2 linked regions of the Lepisosteus oculatus genome follow. The protein of the gene in region 1 interacts with the protein of each later gene in a pairwise test. Links are inferred from orthologs where the notes say so. Each region holds a gene or a part of one and is shown on either strand. Other genes may lie near its edges.

Region 1 (7,535 bases):
TTCTTCTCTTCGCCTGCGCATTTCCTGCGGATTCAGCGCTTTGTTCTTGTAACTCTTCATTCGGCAGTTGTCTTTCACGGGGCTTGCCATGGCGTCTGGTTTGAATACAGAGAATAGACTCAGGAGGAGAGAATAAAAAAAGTTCACGGTGAAATTTTAGTGGACGCGTCCCAGTGTCTTTGTGCACTTCAATACACCTTTCCCCTCATTTCACATGGGGGTTCACTCCTGGAAAGCCCCCTGGCTGAAGAAATCACATGTAATGAATATTTAAGTTCATGGGGGGGAAAAAGGGATTGAGGTGCAGATGACCAGCATTAGACTTGTAAACCTCATAATAGACCTCACTTCTTTCTTTCAGTCACATACAACACATCCCTACACTTACTAAGCACTTCTCCCAATTCAGGGAGACAGGGGAGGTGGAGTCTATCCCGGGAAGCAATGGGCGCAAGGCGGGGAACACCCCGGGTGGGACTCTAGTTCATCACGGGACACGCACGCACACACGCACACCAGGACCAGTCTTTCCCAGAAGCCAATTAACCTACCAGTGTCTTTGGACTGTGGGAGAAAACCAGAGTGCCTGGAGGAAACCCATACAAAGCTCCACACAGATAGCACCCAGGGCACGTAACAAGTAAATCAAGTGTACATACACAGCAGAAATAAAAGGTAATTTAACGAATTTCCCATACATTAATAAGAGAAAGTTTGAGATGTATCATTACTGTCTTTACCACCATTCATCTTTCCACTGTAACACATGACTCTAACTAACTAGCCGCATGGCGCTACGGCCCTTGTAGAGCCCTGGCCTCCTCCACGCATCTCGGCCCCATACCAGTCTTCGCCATCCTCTCACTCTCAGCTTTCTGAGGTCTTCAACATCGTTTATCCATCTTTTGAGGACCCTGTAATCCCTAGAGAGTGTGTCCCCCATGGGGCGGATGGGGGAGCCCACCATAACAGCAGTGTGGCCCAAAAATACAGAATAAGGGCCCACGGACCAACAGGGATCCACTGCCTTGTGGACAGAGGAGGGATCCTCAAAGGCTAAGAGAGACGACCCTAACAGAAATCAATTTAGGTCGAACGCTTTAAGGAGGCAGCCCCTCCATCGCACTTCGAGGTGGGACTAACTACCCCATCCTGTAAAAAGTAAAAGTTACAAAACCAAAACATGATTCACCCGACTCAAACTGATCCAACACATCTGACGTTATCACAGATCACGAAAGCGAAGAAACAAACGACTTCCTCACTTGTAACAATTAGGAGTCATGGCTTCTCACCAGATAGTTAAAAAAAAACAGGAGGGAGCCACAGGGAAAATGAAAGAGACAATATGCAGCAAGCATCAACACAAACGAAAAAGGACACGCTGCTGGTTTTCTGGGAAGGTGGCAGAGACGTGCCACCAGTGACTGAGTCTGCATTAGACCATGTATACACAAGACTCTGCCAAAGCTTGCTGAAATTCTGGCATCAATGAACGCTATGTACATCCGTTTGTAAAATGTGTGTAAAAACCAAAACTACAGGGAAGACCTCTATGGTGGAATTGTTACCAATTCATATTGCAGTAATACAGTGATATCCCATTTCAGTCTCCACAAAAAAGATTCCCTTTTAGACCTTTCATTCGTTTTTTTTGGTGTGTGTGTGTGTGGGGGGGGGCGTTGAACATTCTTTAACAAGTTGGTACACAAGCGACTCTGGGACCTTCACTTTCTTTTACCTTGGGAAACCACTACCGGTAATTTCCCCCCCATTTTACTCAAAGTATACCCAAGTTGACTGAAATACATAAAGCCATTTCAGCTTCGAAGAATGCAGTCTAGATATTACAAGCGTAGATCATAGACAAAGTGAAAATATTAAGTGACAGCTTTAATGCACCAAAAATAGTGACATTTTAAACTTAAGTGACCTTCAGCAACAGCTAGCGACATTTGCAGAATTTATGACAGGGGTGTCGTCAGTCAACAACAGGAGAACTGTTGGGTAGAAGAACTGGAAAGGGTAGAAATGTGAAACAGCGTTATTAGTAGTTTGAGGGGTTCAAATTCCGGGAGAGGCACCGATGTTGCGCACTGATCATTAACTCGAACTGTTTCCTGCCCATGCCCAGCTATATAAATGGGTACAAATGGACCAAAACTGTCAGCCAAATAACGTTAACTCGGCGGAGAACACAAACCCGAACCTACGCTTAGAGCAATGCCAATTATTTTATTCGAAAAACATCACTGCCTGACCCGTCATCGCCCATCAACTATTTGTTCATACGGTCACTGTACATTTACGATACACTTCAAACCAGACCCATCACAGGTACGAACTAAGGCTAGGCGACGTTACCAGATAAGATCATAATAGGTACAAATTACGATATTCAACATTAACCTAAAGAGACAATTACATACCGCGTACAATTTATTTAAAAAAAACGCAAGTCGGCAAGATTCCAGGACAAATGGCAAACACATTTAAAGACCACGGTTACCTGTGTCTTCAGGTGGGCTGCACCAGGCGTGCTCACGAGTATCACAAGACACTAAACAAAACCAAGGTAAAATACAAGACCGCAGCCAACCTTTAGATCTTCTTCCACAGCCTGTCTAGGACTTCCAGTGACCCCAAACGCCTGGTTACGAGCCAGTTGCCAGCCTCTGGGGCCTACACCCTCCGCCAACTGGCCACCTAACACCGGAGCTCAGAACTGCAGGCACTACAGATTTTCTAGTTACATCCCCTCCCACGAAAGCCACCTTAACTGTAAATAAACAGCTGAAACTCCTTCAGCCTGGCGCCTGGCCTCCCCCGTGTACCTTAAAGAGCACGGCATGCTCCGCTTGTCAAACAAGTGACTACGATGACCGTGTAAGGGTTAGGAAGCGCTTACCCATGTACTGCCTTGCGTGCTTAGTAATTGCGCAGCTCTATTTCCGAGCACTGCCTCACCAGGATTGCTAACACAGTTCAGCGCAATATGGCGCACCTCTGTCAATTGCACAGAGGACTCCCAGCAGCCCCCTTATGTCCGTCAGCAGGAGATTGTGGCCAATCAGCGCTGGAGCTCGGTAAGATCCAGGATCCACGACTGCTGCAGGTTTTTCTGACAGACGAAAACGCCTGCATTGCACAGGGACACTGTGTTATAATAAAAGCAGAACATAATTTAAAGGCCTGACCCGATCAGAGATTTAGTAAAAGCATCTCCGCGCGTTACGGATACTTCAATGCGAGATTTTGAAATAGTATGAAAGAAGTATGAGGTATAGACTTGTTGGGTTAGGATGCCTCCGTCTTCAGCATTACACACAGGGACATTGAGTCGCCAGAGTCCCGTCCTGACCACACAGGAGGTAGACGGAGTACTTTAGCACTTATTCCCAACACAGGGAATACTCTCGGAGCACGGTTTACTCATAACATAAAAGTGTAAGCATGCTACAGAGCGTGTTTTGTACGAACAGTGCACAGAGAGGGTTAATGTGTCTATTTCTTCCCAAGCGTCGAGATTCCGCATTACGTCACCTTCATGTTCTCAAATGGCCACGGCCAATGACGTGACGTATTTGCACTCAATTGGCTCGCGGCCTTGCCCGGGCGGGTGGGATTCACGTGCGGAAGAGAGGAGTCGGCTGAATGGAAAATGAAAACGCAAGTGTTGTTGCTGCAATAGTGAGTGTACAGCGGCAGCGATCAAAGCGGTAGAAATACGAGAAAGAAGGGTGAGGAAGCGAGGCAAATTAAAGCGCACATTTCTTGCCCTGTTTTTATCCGTTTTCAGAGCTTTCGGTGTCTTTAAAGATGATTTTAAGTTGTTATGCTTCTCTACCTTTCCGGAGAAAAGCGCGGAATAGTGTTAATTATTTATATTCTTTTTATCTTTGTTATGCATTGTTATTCCCGGTTAGCTCTTGGCCTTGGTTCTTCAGGACTGTTGTCATTCACGCCGCGGTGAATGACAACAATCCTGTTTTGTTTGTTTTGTTTTGATTCAGCTTTAAGAGATTTCTTTTAAAAACATCATATTTTCAATGTACAGTATGTTGTGGTGTCCGGGTACAGGAGCGAATTTGTTGAAACTTTCTATTCTTTAATTCATAGTTACTGATAAGTACTTATTTCGGATTACATGTGTCAATATTTTTTAACTGAAACGTATACAATTTATGTAACAGAATAACACTCAATTAGTTTTTGGATGAGGACCGAAATATACACTGTGTGCTTATGTAAACGACCATGAAACCTCGCAGTCTCTGGTCCAACTGCACCTTGAGTCTCGTACGTATTTTGTATTTTGCATACGTAATCCATTTCTTAATTTCATAAACCCTTTCCTGTTAAACGCCTTTTGTCAAGCATCTGTAAGTTGCTTTGGATAAAAGTCTGAAAATAATATTGCTATTGGGAATAGTATTATTAAGATACGGACTCCAGCTCATGTCAATTCACGATGCATTTCCACTGGTGTCCTCTGCTGTGTGTTTTTATTTGGAAGACGTCCAGCAACAGAACAGCAACAAAAAAAGTCAAGCTCTTTAAACCTGTCAGTGCAGATCAGATCATTACTTCAACCCAGGAATTTGTTAAGTTTAACTTCTCTGGAGAGATTCCAATGTAGCAATATCCTTTTTTGTTATTTGGTTATCAAAGCTGTACACTTAATGTAAATGACATCTTGTGCTTTGTACCATTTTAAGGTTCTGTAACATCTCTTGATATGATTTCTAAGCTGTGACTGTATTATTTAACATTTTACTGCCCTTTTAGAGCTTTTTACAGTGTCAAGAATATGTAAATGATGTCCATACAAACACCTAGGCCTACAGAAAGTCGTGTTTTATGCTGCACAAATGACAATTCATTTTGAACTAACCTTTTCTACGTATTGTGTCCTTTCCACAGATTTCTTACTACTTGTAAATTATGCCAGAACTGTGGAATATATATTACAGTGTTTAAAACCAACCAATATTACCCATCGTGGTATAATGTTATAAAAGTTTAAAATACTGTCATCTTTCAATCTTTATTTTCTTTTTGTTCTGTTCAGTCAGGGTTTGTGTAATAATGCACGACACTTACATTGTTTGCTTTTTATTAACGGATTTATAGTTTTTGTAAATTATTTTTGTTATTAGAGGTTGATGTCAGATGTTTGTCATTGTGTACCTCTGTGGCAAGATCTGATCACGCAGCTTTATTTTTTATTTCAGATATAATTGAAGGCTGACATCATGTTTGCTTGTGAAATCTGTGGTGAGGAGGGGCTGTCTGAAGCTGACATGAAGACTCACCTCCTCCTCAGCCATTTGGAAAATGAAATTAGGTGCCCGATCTGCTGTCTGTCAGGTGTGACCTACGATGAACTGCTATTTCATATTGATATAGCCCACTCAGAGAATAACACTGAGCTATCAGAGACCTCCGCTCGGAAAGAGGTTAAATCAGGTTTGGATATAGAGGTGGTAGAAGCATCCACCTCTGGCCACACGGACAACACTATGGAAGTATCCGATCCTGAAGGTCCCCAGAACTCAAAGCATGTAGTTGGTATGTCTCAGGATGCTGCACACGTGCTAAAGGATTCTTTTACATGGAAGGAAAATGGATTAAAAATACAAGATCAAGGAGAATCCACAAAAGTCCCCCAAACGCCGAGAGAAACTGGGATGGCTGCTTCAGAAAGAGTTGTGAGTCACGCAGCATGTACATCCGAACGGGAGCATGTGGCGAAGGAATGCTCAGGACCACAAGTAAAGGCAAAACAAAAACGCATTCATTCACCCAAGAAAGGTAGGTATTGTATAGCAGCGTTGTAATAACGCTTGTCTCTCATGTAGTTCCTTTCCTAACCATCTGTATCTGGCATTTTCCTTATGGATCAAAGAAGGAAAAATAAGTGTGAAATTAAAAAAAAACCCTGCAAGTTATTTATTAACAGCTAGGCCTTGCACGAATAAGAAGAGTGCCATAAATAATACTATTTCTTCTAGATTTTTTCTAGAATATTTATTCATTATTCTAGATTTGAAGTTCCCAGCAGGCACCGGGTTTGTTACTGTATGTGTTTGTTACTCTGCTGCAAACACTTGTCGTCTGGATTGCATTTCCTGGAATTAGGAGCTAACAGAGTTACGTTCAGTGTGACGCAGATTGCATTTAGGGATGCATCGGATAGATAAGTAGATATTTAACAGAGTTCTTCCCATTCAGTGCTTTTTGTGGAGTTTTGATCCAGTACTCTAAACCTGTAGCACAATAGGACCGAACAGTATTGACAGTATTGTTCACTTTGGTGTCTCTGAACTTCAAAGCTGTAGTAGGTTCTTAGCGTGGAATCTTCTTCAAGTTTATGACTGCATAAGTGCAAGAAGTTGGTCTTTCCGTTTCCCTTTTTGCAGACAATTTGCATTAGCAGCTAGGCATGTTGTCTATTTTGCTCAGAACTATGTGTCCTTTGTATTTTAATCTTTTTTTATTCTTATTGTTATAAAGAGAGGATGTACCCATGTCCAATGTGTTCCCTCGTCTGCGCCGATTGTTACATTCTGCAGGAGCACGTTGAGCTCCACCTACAAGAACAACACACTGAAGGTATAGTTAGCACAACCGTAATTGTAAGATACTGTATTAGTATGTCCTTTATAGAACATTAAACAGTGTACTGGCCATGGAAAGCCAGGTGATGATTCACTTTTTTATTAGGCAACTGCTACTTTTCCAGTCCCCTTCAGGGTTCTCGGATCCTGCGCGTTCCTTAAAATGTCAGTTTTGTTTAACTAGTATGTAACTCCCGGTCTTAAATTTAGTCTTTTTTGTAGTTTGCAACTCTTTCCTGGGTAGTTTTTTTTGCCCCGATTATCCATTGTGTTTCTGGCGTGCGGGTCAGTTTAACAGTAAATTATAAGAAATTATTGGCATTCTTTTATTTACAGTTTTATAAATAATTTTATATTCATCCACTGGTCTGTACAGCTGACTCCACTGGGTTATTCCTGGAGTGATAGAATAGTTACCGGAAGTTTTACATCTTCAAACGTTTTAGAACGTAAAATTCACAAAGAAGAGGAAGCCATTTGTCCATTAGTTTGATTGTTTTTTAGTAGATCTCAGCCAGAAGTTTCTCAAAGAATGCTGTGGCTAGGTAGATTTTTCCATACTCCCGCAATCCTTTGTGTAGAGACGTGCCTCCTGTTCTTAGTTTTAAATGAGCTTCCCATCAGTCTCCATTCATGTCCCAATGTTTGTGTTTCACTGTTCTTTCTGAAGTCCACTGGGCTGTCTTTCTCAGTGTGAGTGAAAATATGCAGTTCTTCTCTGAACAGAAAAATGGCTACATATAAGAGTAGGACATTCAACTAATTTACCATGATTAATAGTAATTTATTGATCCAGGGATCTCGTTCAGCTGTTTCTTGAAGGAGCCCTTTCCTAAGATATCATTTTCCAGATTCCAGAGCAGCAAAATGTTTTGCATGGTGGTGACCAAAATACACAGTACTTTGAAAGAGTAG
Region 2 (7,589 bases), on another chromosome or scaffold:
ATTTTAGGTACTTCTTCGTTAAAAGAAGTGAAAATCTCATCCCAGAAGAGACTGTTTAAGGGCTATCTAAAGAACATTTGCTAGCTGCACAAAAGAAGCTACACGTTGGGAGTCCCCAATTAACTGTGGAGATTTCCTTACGAATAATAAGCATACTTATGGAACGAAAGAAGTGTTCAACCCATCTGCCATCCACAAGCTCCAAAGGTGTCATTTCACGGCACCTTCCTGGTTGCCAGAGACTCTAACTGATGGAAAGCAGCCAAAAGTATTGTGTTGAAAAGCTGTGACTGGTTGAATGGTTGAAAAATGGTTGAGAGTCTGAGCTCTGCTTTCCTGGAAGTGCTTGAAATGGACATTTCCAGATTCCCTGCACAATGCTACCTGAGGCCCGGTGATAAAGGTTTCTCAGGTTGAACCAGAGTAACTGTTGGAGCTGTTCTCTTTGTGGGCTGGTAAAAGAATTATTTGACCCTATATGGCATTTTAATCTAGAGAAAAGCATTAGCATTCACAATTGTGAAGATCTGATTGTGAGAAGCCTAAGACAGCAGGAGTTCCATCAATCAGCTAATTAATTTCTCAATCTGAAACCCTGGTGGAAATTCCTGTGCTCCACTTTTATGTCATCGTAATGGTTTTCGTATCTTGTAAAATTACACAATGATATTAGTAACACCTCTCAGCCAGTCACTAATTTTGTCTCAGGGTAGAATGAGGTCCAGATTCAGAAGACATGCAAAAATCAACATTTAAATTAGGATTTTATCTGTACACATCCCTTGAGATAAGAACATCTGAAAAAGAAAACAAAATGTGCATATTGTATGAATTTAGATTATAGCATTATAGCATGAATAAGAATTAATAATATTGGAGGTATTTTAACTGTAAATGAAAACAAGGCTTGGTGTTATCGAAAGCTGGATCTGCTCTAATTATTGCTACATTCCTTGGAGATATAACATCTGTAACCCATGGTCTGAACAGCTGTACCTTCACATGTTTTTTTTCTGTAACTATGGCAAAACTTTTATCTATACTGTATATATACAGTATAAGGTTACATAACCCGTGTATGTGTTCAAGTGGAGAGCTGCGTCAGCATATGTAGGCTGTAACGGAACAAGTAAAGGTTAATTCCATACTGAAAAACAGAAGGGAGAAACACCATTTTTCTGACGTAGAACCTTCTTCATGTATGATGAAGGCTGTACAGCTGAAACATTGTTTCTCTTGTCTGTGTTTCACATGGAATTCATCTTTTCTTATTTTTTTACACAGATTTATATGTAACACGTTTAATGTTGTAAATCAGCATACAAATACACTGTTACTGAAGTGAGTACTGTATGTGATCCAGCCATATTAACAAAATAATAAAGATTCAAATGGTAAAGAACATGTAAAAAATGTTAAGAACATGGTATGAATGTTAAACAAAGGTATCATTCCATACAAAATCAACCTGATAACTTTCTTAAAAATAAGGTACCTACATTTTTCCTGTGGAGGAAGGATTTGAGGCAAAATGTTTCTGTCAAAACAAAATAATATCACTTTCCATCTGAAAAACAATCCAAACATCAGAAATAGTCCTTATTTAATGAAAAATGTGTACCGATTGTATGCTTTATTGTTTTTTCTTCCACAGGGTGTTTTCGTTTTGTGGTTCGATTGACATGTTGGAGATTTGTCCTGTCATACAAGAACATTCAGCAGTTGTGACAGTGCGCCTCTTTCAAATGTTGCTCCTTATTCTGTGTGAAGTGAATATAACATTCAGCCAAGAAGGCTTTCTTATTTCAGAGGGGAGAGCATTTCTCTGCCAGGTCTCAAAGGAAAACAAAACACCTTTGATGGTTCAGGATGAACTACATACAGTATGGATAATCTATAAAACTGCAGGGCCTCAGTAGCCTTGCAATGATCATGCAAAACATATCAAAATGATTCTTTTGCTTTGGAAAAATAAATTTTACCTGTCAAAACATTTGTGTATTTCACAGTGAAAGAGAGGGGAGTCGAATGTGATAAAGCTAAATGACAGCTCAGGGAGGCAAAGTACATCCCTGACTCTTAAAAGCTGCACACACATATTCGAGTATAGAAAGCTTCAAGTAAATCCGTATCCAAAAGTTTGGTTTCCCAGACTTTACCTGGGGGACCACTGCTGGGCCAGGGAGGCCAGCATATGAAGACAAGAGGACCTACATTTCAAAAATATGATGGGCAGTGGTAGCCTGGCTGTGTGACACAGGATTTCTGCAACATATCTGAACTGAAAGTGAGCTTCTTCCAGCCAGAAGGATCTGCTCATGCTCATGTCCTAGAATTGATCATGTTCTTATGATGTCTAGGGGCCAGGTATTTAACAGTTGCAGGCAACAAGGGCAATGTACAGGTCCTTATATCAGAAGATGACATAAGTAAAGCCTCACAGATATTACGCAATTGGACAACAACAAAGATGATACGAGTTGTTAGGGATTCCAAAAGGACGTCTGTTTTTTTCTATTTGTTTTTTTTCCAGAGACATTTTGGGTTTAGACAATATGTGGAGAGCAGAACGTTCCAAATCACATTGCATGTTGCATTTCCCTTAATAATGACCTCTCTATCATATAATTTGTCATGGCTCTTAAATTACCAGAAGCTCCACTCTGTTATTTTCTGTGCTCATACATTAGTGCAATCTGTAGAGCAGCAAACCAAAAAATAAAAACAAATAGGCTGTTAGTTGAAAAAATGAACCCCTAACAAACCTCAGAGTAAAACAATTTATCTTTTGAGGGGCATGTGATGAACTTATAAATGACACCAAGAGTTGCTTGGAGTAGATCAGAGTTTAACAATGTCTTCAAGCAGGCCGTGCAAATTAGAATTTGTTCTAAATTATCTTATCTGGACAAATGTTTCAATATAAATTAAAAATAAGATACCTCTTCTAAATGTACTGAATATTCATCAGTTTATTGATTTAATCAGAGACCCTTCATTCTACTAAGAAGCAGAAAACACACCTTTATTTAACCAGATAAATGAACGAAAGAAACAAGCTCTTGATTACAGTGAAAACCTGTAGAGTACCCATTTATACAGCTGGGCATTTTTCTGGAGTAACCTTGAGTGACGCACCTCACTCAGGATTACAACAGCAACGCTACACCTAGGATTTGAATCCACAGCTTTCTAATTAGAGGTCCTGAACCCTAATCGTTCCTCCACACTGCTGAGTGAAAGGTTCTAATGAGCAAACTGATTGCAGAGACAGAATGTGAATACTTATTTGTGTGAAACTGCGCAATGTGAAATTGTAGCAATATGGCTTGGCATAATGTAGTATTCAAAGCCCAAATCTAAAAAAACGTTCACTTTATTTTTTCTGTGAAAGCACCGAGCTCCCAAGTATATAGCCAGTATATACGCATTCTCTGTCAAGTTTTTAAGGATAAAGTGGTAAAACAAACAGAGCCCATATTTTTTCTTCATGGCTGTGAATGATGAATAGCTGACACATTGTACAAGGGGCCTATTCAGTACAGCCAGGCTCTGAAAGGGTTAAAAGCAACACAGCACCTTTTGTAAAGATCATAGTTTGGAATTAACAGACCACTCAGAAATACAGCTCCAGATTACTTGTATAATAAGGCTATTATTTATCTTTGATGATAATGATTATAATAATAATAATAATAATAATAATAATAATAATAATAATAATAATAATAATAATAACAAATGCAATTTTTAACAAGGTCTACCACATTTTTGAGGTTATTTAACAACACAACTCCCTGTTCTCTCCTTTCCGTGTCCTCTGAAAAGTACTTTCTCTCAGAAATTCATCCTTGCATTACTAAAAAATAATTTTACATTTGTTCCTTTGGCCATTGCTATGGAGACAATACAATTTTTTGATGTACTTATAAAAAATAAATGTTATTCCCCTCAACGTTTATTGTACATTTTTATTAAACAACTTAAAGCATGTCAACGGCCTTAAGAAAATAAGGTAGGCTTTTTAAGAATTATATAATAATTTTGTACCAGGCCATCTATCTCTAAACAACTGGATTAATGTTTGGGTGATATTAGTATGCTACACTACACAAACCTTGTCGCCATCATTAATGGAAATCACAGTATAGTAAACCTGTTGATAAAACAACCTACACTGCTACAGTTTATTACTTATAACGGAAATACAAAATAAGTAATAATACAATTTCACGCAGCACGATTTAAACACGAAAGCAAATCGTATCTGAAATGATTTTATTTGTACACACAATTACATAGTGTAAGAGTGCACAGTCACTCATAGCTATGCGTTTTACCTTAATTCAAAAGAGAGAAATTGTCCCTGGTAAGAAAACTACAATAATGAATGAAATGCCTTTGGCAACGTCATGTTCGGGAGTATGACAACAGGTCAGTCAGTGACTCTGCATTGCCTGTTTAACTGCAATGGGCGTCTCTGGCCGGCGGCGGCAGTATTGAGTATATATGTGTTTCAGTCCCATTTCCCTCCATGGTTTCTCCTCTCCCTGAGTAACTTGGCGTTTGGCTCACTTCATTATACAGTCCCATATTCTCCCTCCATTAAGGCATCTCTCTGCGTTTTGGACTGAATCAAAAATCCTTAAAAACCCAAGAGGAAAAAAAACTTTTAAAGGGGAAGATGGACATGAAAAAGAGGATCCACTTAGAGCTGAGGAACAGGACCCCATCTGATGTAAGAGCTGCTTTTTCAAACCTTAGTTTGTTACTTTTTCTGCTTTCCTGGTGATGACCTGTGTAATGGTGACCACATGGGTTTAGTTTTTTATTTTTATTTAATAACTGATAAATTACTGCTCAAGTTTCCGTATTAGGCTTTATCGAGGTGGTTAAATCTTACAGAGCTACATAACCAAATAGTTTCGGAGGCTTGGTTGTACAGTATTTAGTATTATTGTTGCAGTCGTTGCCTTTAACCGTTTCGGAGCCTCTTGTCTCCGTGTTGCTCCCTCGCTGGTGTGATAAAGGGTAACTTTTACTTGGCCGTATAGCGGGAGGGCTGCTTCTTTTTTATCGATGCATAGATAAAATTGATTTATTAGTTTTTTTTTTTGTTAAAGGTTTATTTTTACAGAAGGCTCGGTAGCCATATTTGTAACAGCATGAAATGGGGCGCCCTTTATTACAAAGCAGTTTTTTAAATAAACCTCGCTGGTGTAGCGCTGAAATAAGTAGTCTGCTCTAAAGAAGTACGGTGCAGGGTTATTCATAATCCTAAATTGAGAAGCAGCCGGGGTTGGTTTAACGTGTTTGCTTTCAACGCCCCAAAAGAACCAAAATCGTAGAAAAAAAATACTTAAATCACACTCCCCCCACCAAATAATCTAAATACACGTTTGTTTCAAGCCGAGAACCCAAAGTTGCAAACCGTTTTTATTTTCCTTCGAGGTTAAATCTTTCCAGCAATAATTACATGTTACACATTTTAAAGAAAAAAACGGTATTTAGGTTACATTCTTCCACAATAACCTACTGAAAAATACCATTTCTTTACACAAGACCTCCATAAAGCGTTAACGATTTATGTAAAAGTAGTGCACAGTTCCCGCCATATTACTACCCATTAAAAATACAAATCCGGTAATGTTTAATCCGAGATTAATGTTGTTTTTCTTGATTTAAAGCAAAATACTTTGATTTCACGGCAAAATATACTGCAGCCTCGGAATATTCAGTTACAAGACTAGCAAGTACAGCACCCAGGTGGCAAAAAAAACCCACGCTTCAACCAACACATGCAAGACGAATAACACGTTTCAAAAATGTTAAAGGTGAAGTTTTAATACGAGCGTATCTTTTGGTTTTATGAAGTGTTCAATCTAACTTTGCAGGTGAAAAGGGTGTTTTAAATCAATGCAGAAAAGTTATTCCGCTTCTTTTCCCCACTGCTCGGAAAAGCTCGGAGTACAGTCGCTCGGGAATCGCCATGTTGTCGCCCTGCCGTCTTTGAAGCCCTCGGAGAAAGGAACTTTCTCCATCTTTGTCCTCCTAATTTCCGTTCAAAACGACTCCTTCGTCATTCGCACTCGCACCAAGATACGATATTTCTGCTCAGTCACGTTTATTATTATTCGGATGTTTTTGTTCGGAGGCGATAAAAAAGTCGTTTTGATGTTTTTTATTGAAAAATATAGACGAGGCGGTCAATCCTCAGCGATGCTGATGTTTGATGGCGGGCTGACGGATTCTCTCTGCAACCCCGACAACAGCGCTCTGGCTCTTAAAAGGGCAATGGCTGGGAAGACAAATCATTGCCTCCAGTCACTGCAGCACAGGCACACGGTGAAGAGCACGAACGCATGCACTCAGTAGGCCAAGGATTATTATGCGTAATTCACCTCGTTTGCCTTTCCACAGTAAACAAGAACGCTTTTTATTGGTATTACCACGTTAAGTTTCTACGTGCTTTTGTCTAGAAAAGTTCACTCAACAAGGCGAACTCACCGTTTAGAATATTTATACACTCACGTCGAATATGTTCTCATTGTACACCGAAAACCTTAGTTTGTTCCAACAAATTCGTTAAATAACAAATCTCCTTTCCCCTTATTTTCCAGATTTGTGCTAGTATAAAAAGAGTCCCTTTGGTTACAATCATTCGTGCATTTCTGCACTGACGACTACAGTTTTCATGAAAGGGATGTGGTACACATTTGTAATTGTGAGAGCTCTCAACAAGCTGATTGAACTCTGGGACTGGTTGCATATAAGTTACAACACCTGAAATTTCAAAAGCATTATTAAAACTGGATAACATTTCGCTTAATTTGGGTATTGAATGTGTTATATACATTACTTTGTACCACCTTTAAACCTAAGAAAACTGGGGATGGGGGGTTAAAAAGAATACATGGAGCTAGAACAATAATGTGTTTTTGCTTAGTGTAGCTTGTTTCTTTAGCGACAAATCTCAGTTTTTTTAGGGGTCTTAAAATTCAGGGTGTGGTCACTTTGTGCTATAAATGAGCAGGTAAGTTGATCTATTGGCATTTTAGATTTAATGACTACTATTGGTAGGTAAAACTATGGATCAATTTTATGCCCAGTGAACATCCTTCAGACAGGAGATGTAAAGAACTTCATCTAACTTGCAAGTTTGACTAAATGACTGAATGTGTGCCTCAAAATAAGTCAATTTGTTGTATGTTTAAAGTGATTTAGTCAGTTAACTCTCTGGACTTCTTCAAGACTGACTGTCCAAAAGAAACTTAGGGGAAGTTAATTAAAAACTGGGAAATAGATGCACTTCATTACACAGAGAGTTGCAGGAGTCTGGAACAAGCTCTGCAGCAATTTTAAAGCCGATACCATTGCATCTTTCAAGGAAATGGCTGGATGAGATCCTTAGATCAATGAGCTACTTGCCAATCAAGGACAGATGGGTTAAATGCACAGTTCTTATAAATCACTGTTATTCTTTACATGTGTAATTCTCATTAATGAAGGTATTAGATTCTTTTAAAAATTATATTGCATTAATTGGTATGAGGACATTAGGGGCATTTTTGCCCAACATTTAGAAGATG

Evidence for each region.
Region 2: the proteins of kpna5 (region 1) and anp32b interact in binary tests that used the Homo sapiens proteins (3 or more experiments, as listed by UniProt). The two-hybrid records come from large-scale screens. The link is inferred for Lepisosteus oculatus from reciprocal best matches to the Homo sapiens genes KPNA5 and ANP32B.

The regions. Positions count from the first base shown.
Region 1 is NC_090697.1:32,627,561-32,635,095, reverse strand, and holds the start of kpna5 (importin subunit alpha-6), read right to left. Parts: upstream 3,038-7,535; 5' UTR 2,913-3,037; coding exon 2,909-2,912; intron 96-2,908; coding exon 1-95. Other genes in the region: zufsp (zinc finger-containing ubiquitin peptidase 1), read left to right, coding at 5,256-5,814, 6,517-6,615. UniProt on the Homo sapiens protein: Functions in nuclear protein import as an adapter protein for nuclear receptor KPNB1. Binds specifically and directly to substrates containing either a simple or bipartite NLS motif.
Region 2 is NC_090696.1:59,047,722-59,055,310, forward strand, and holds the start of anp32b (acidic leucine-rich nuclear phosphoprotein 32 family member B), read left to right. Parts: upstream 1-4,518; 5' UTR 4,519-4,684; coding exon 4,685-4,738; intron 4,739-7,589. UniProt on the Homo sapiens protein: Multifunctional protein that is involved in the regulation of many processes including cell proliferation, apoptosis, cell cycle progression or transcription.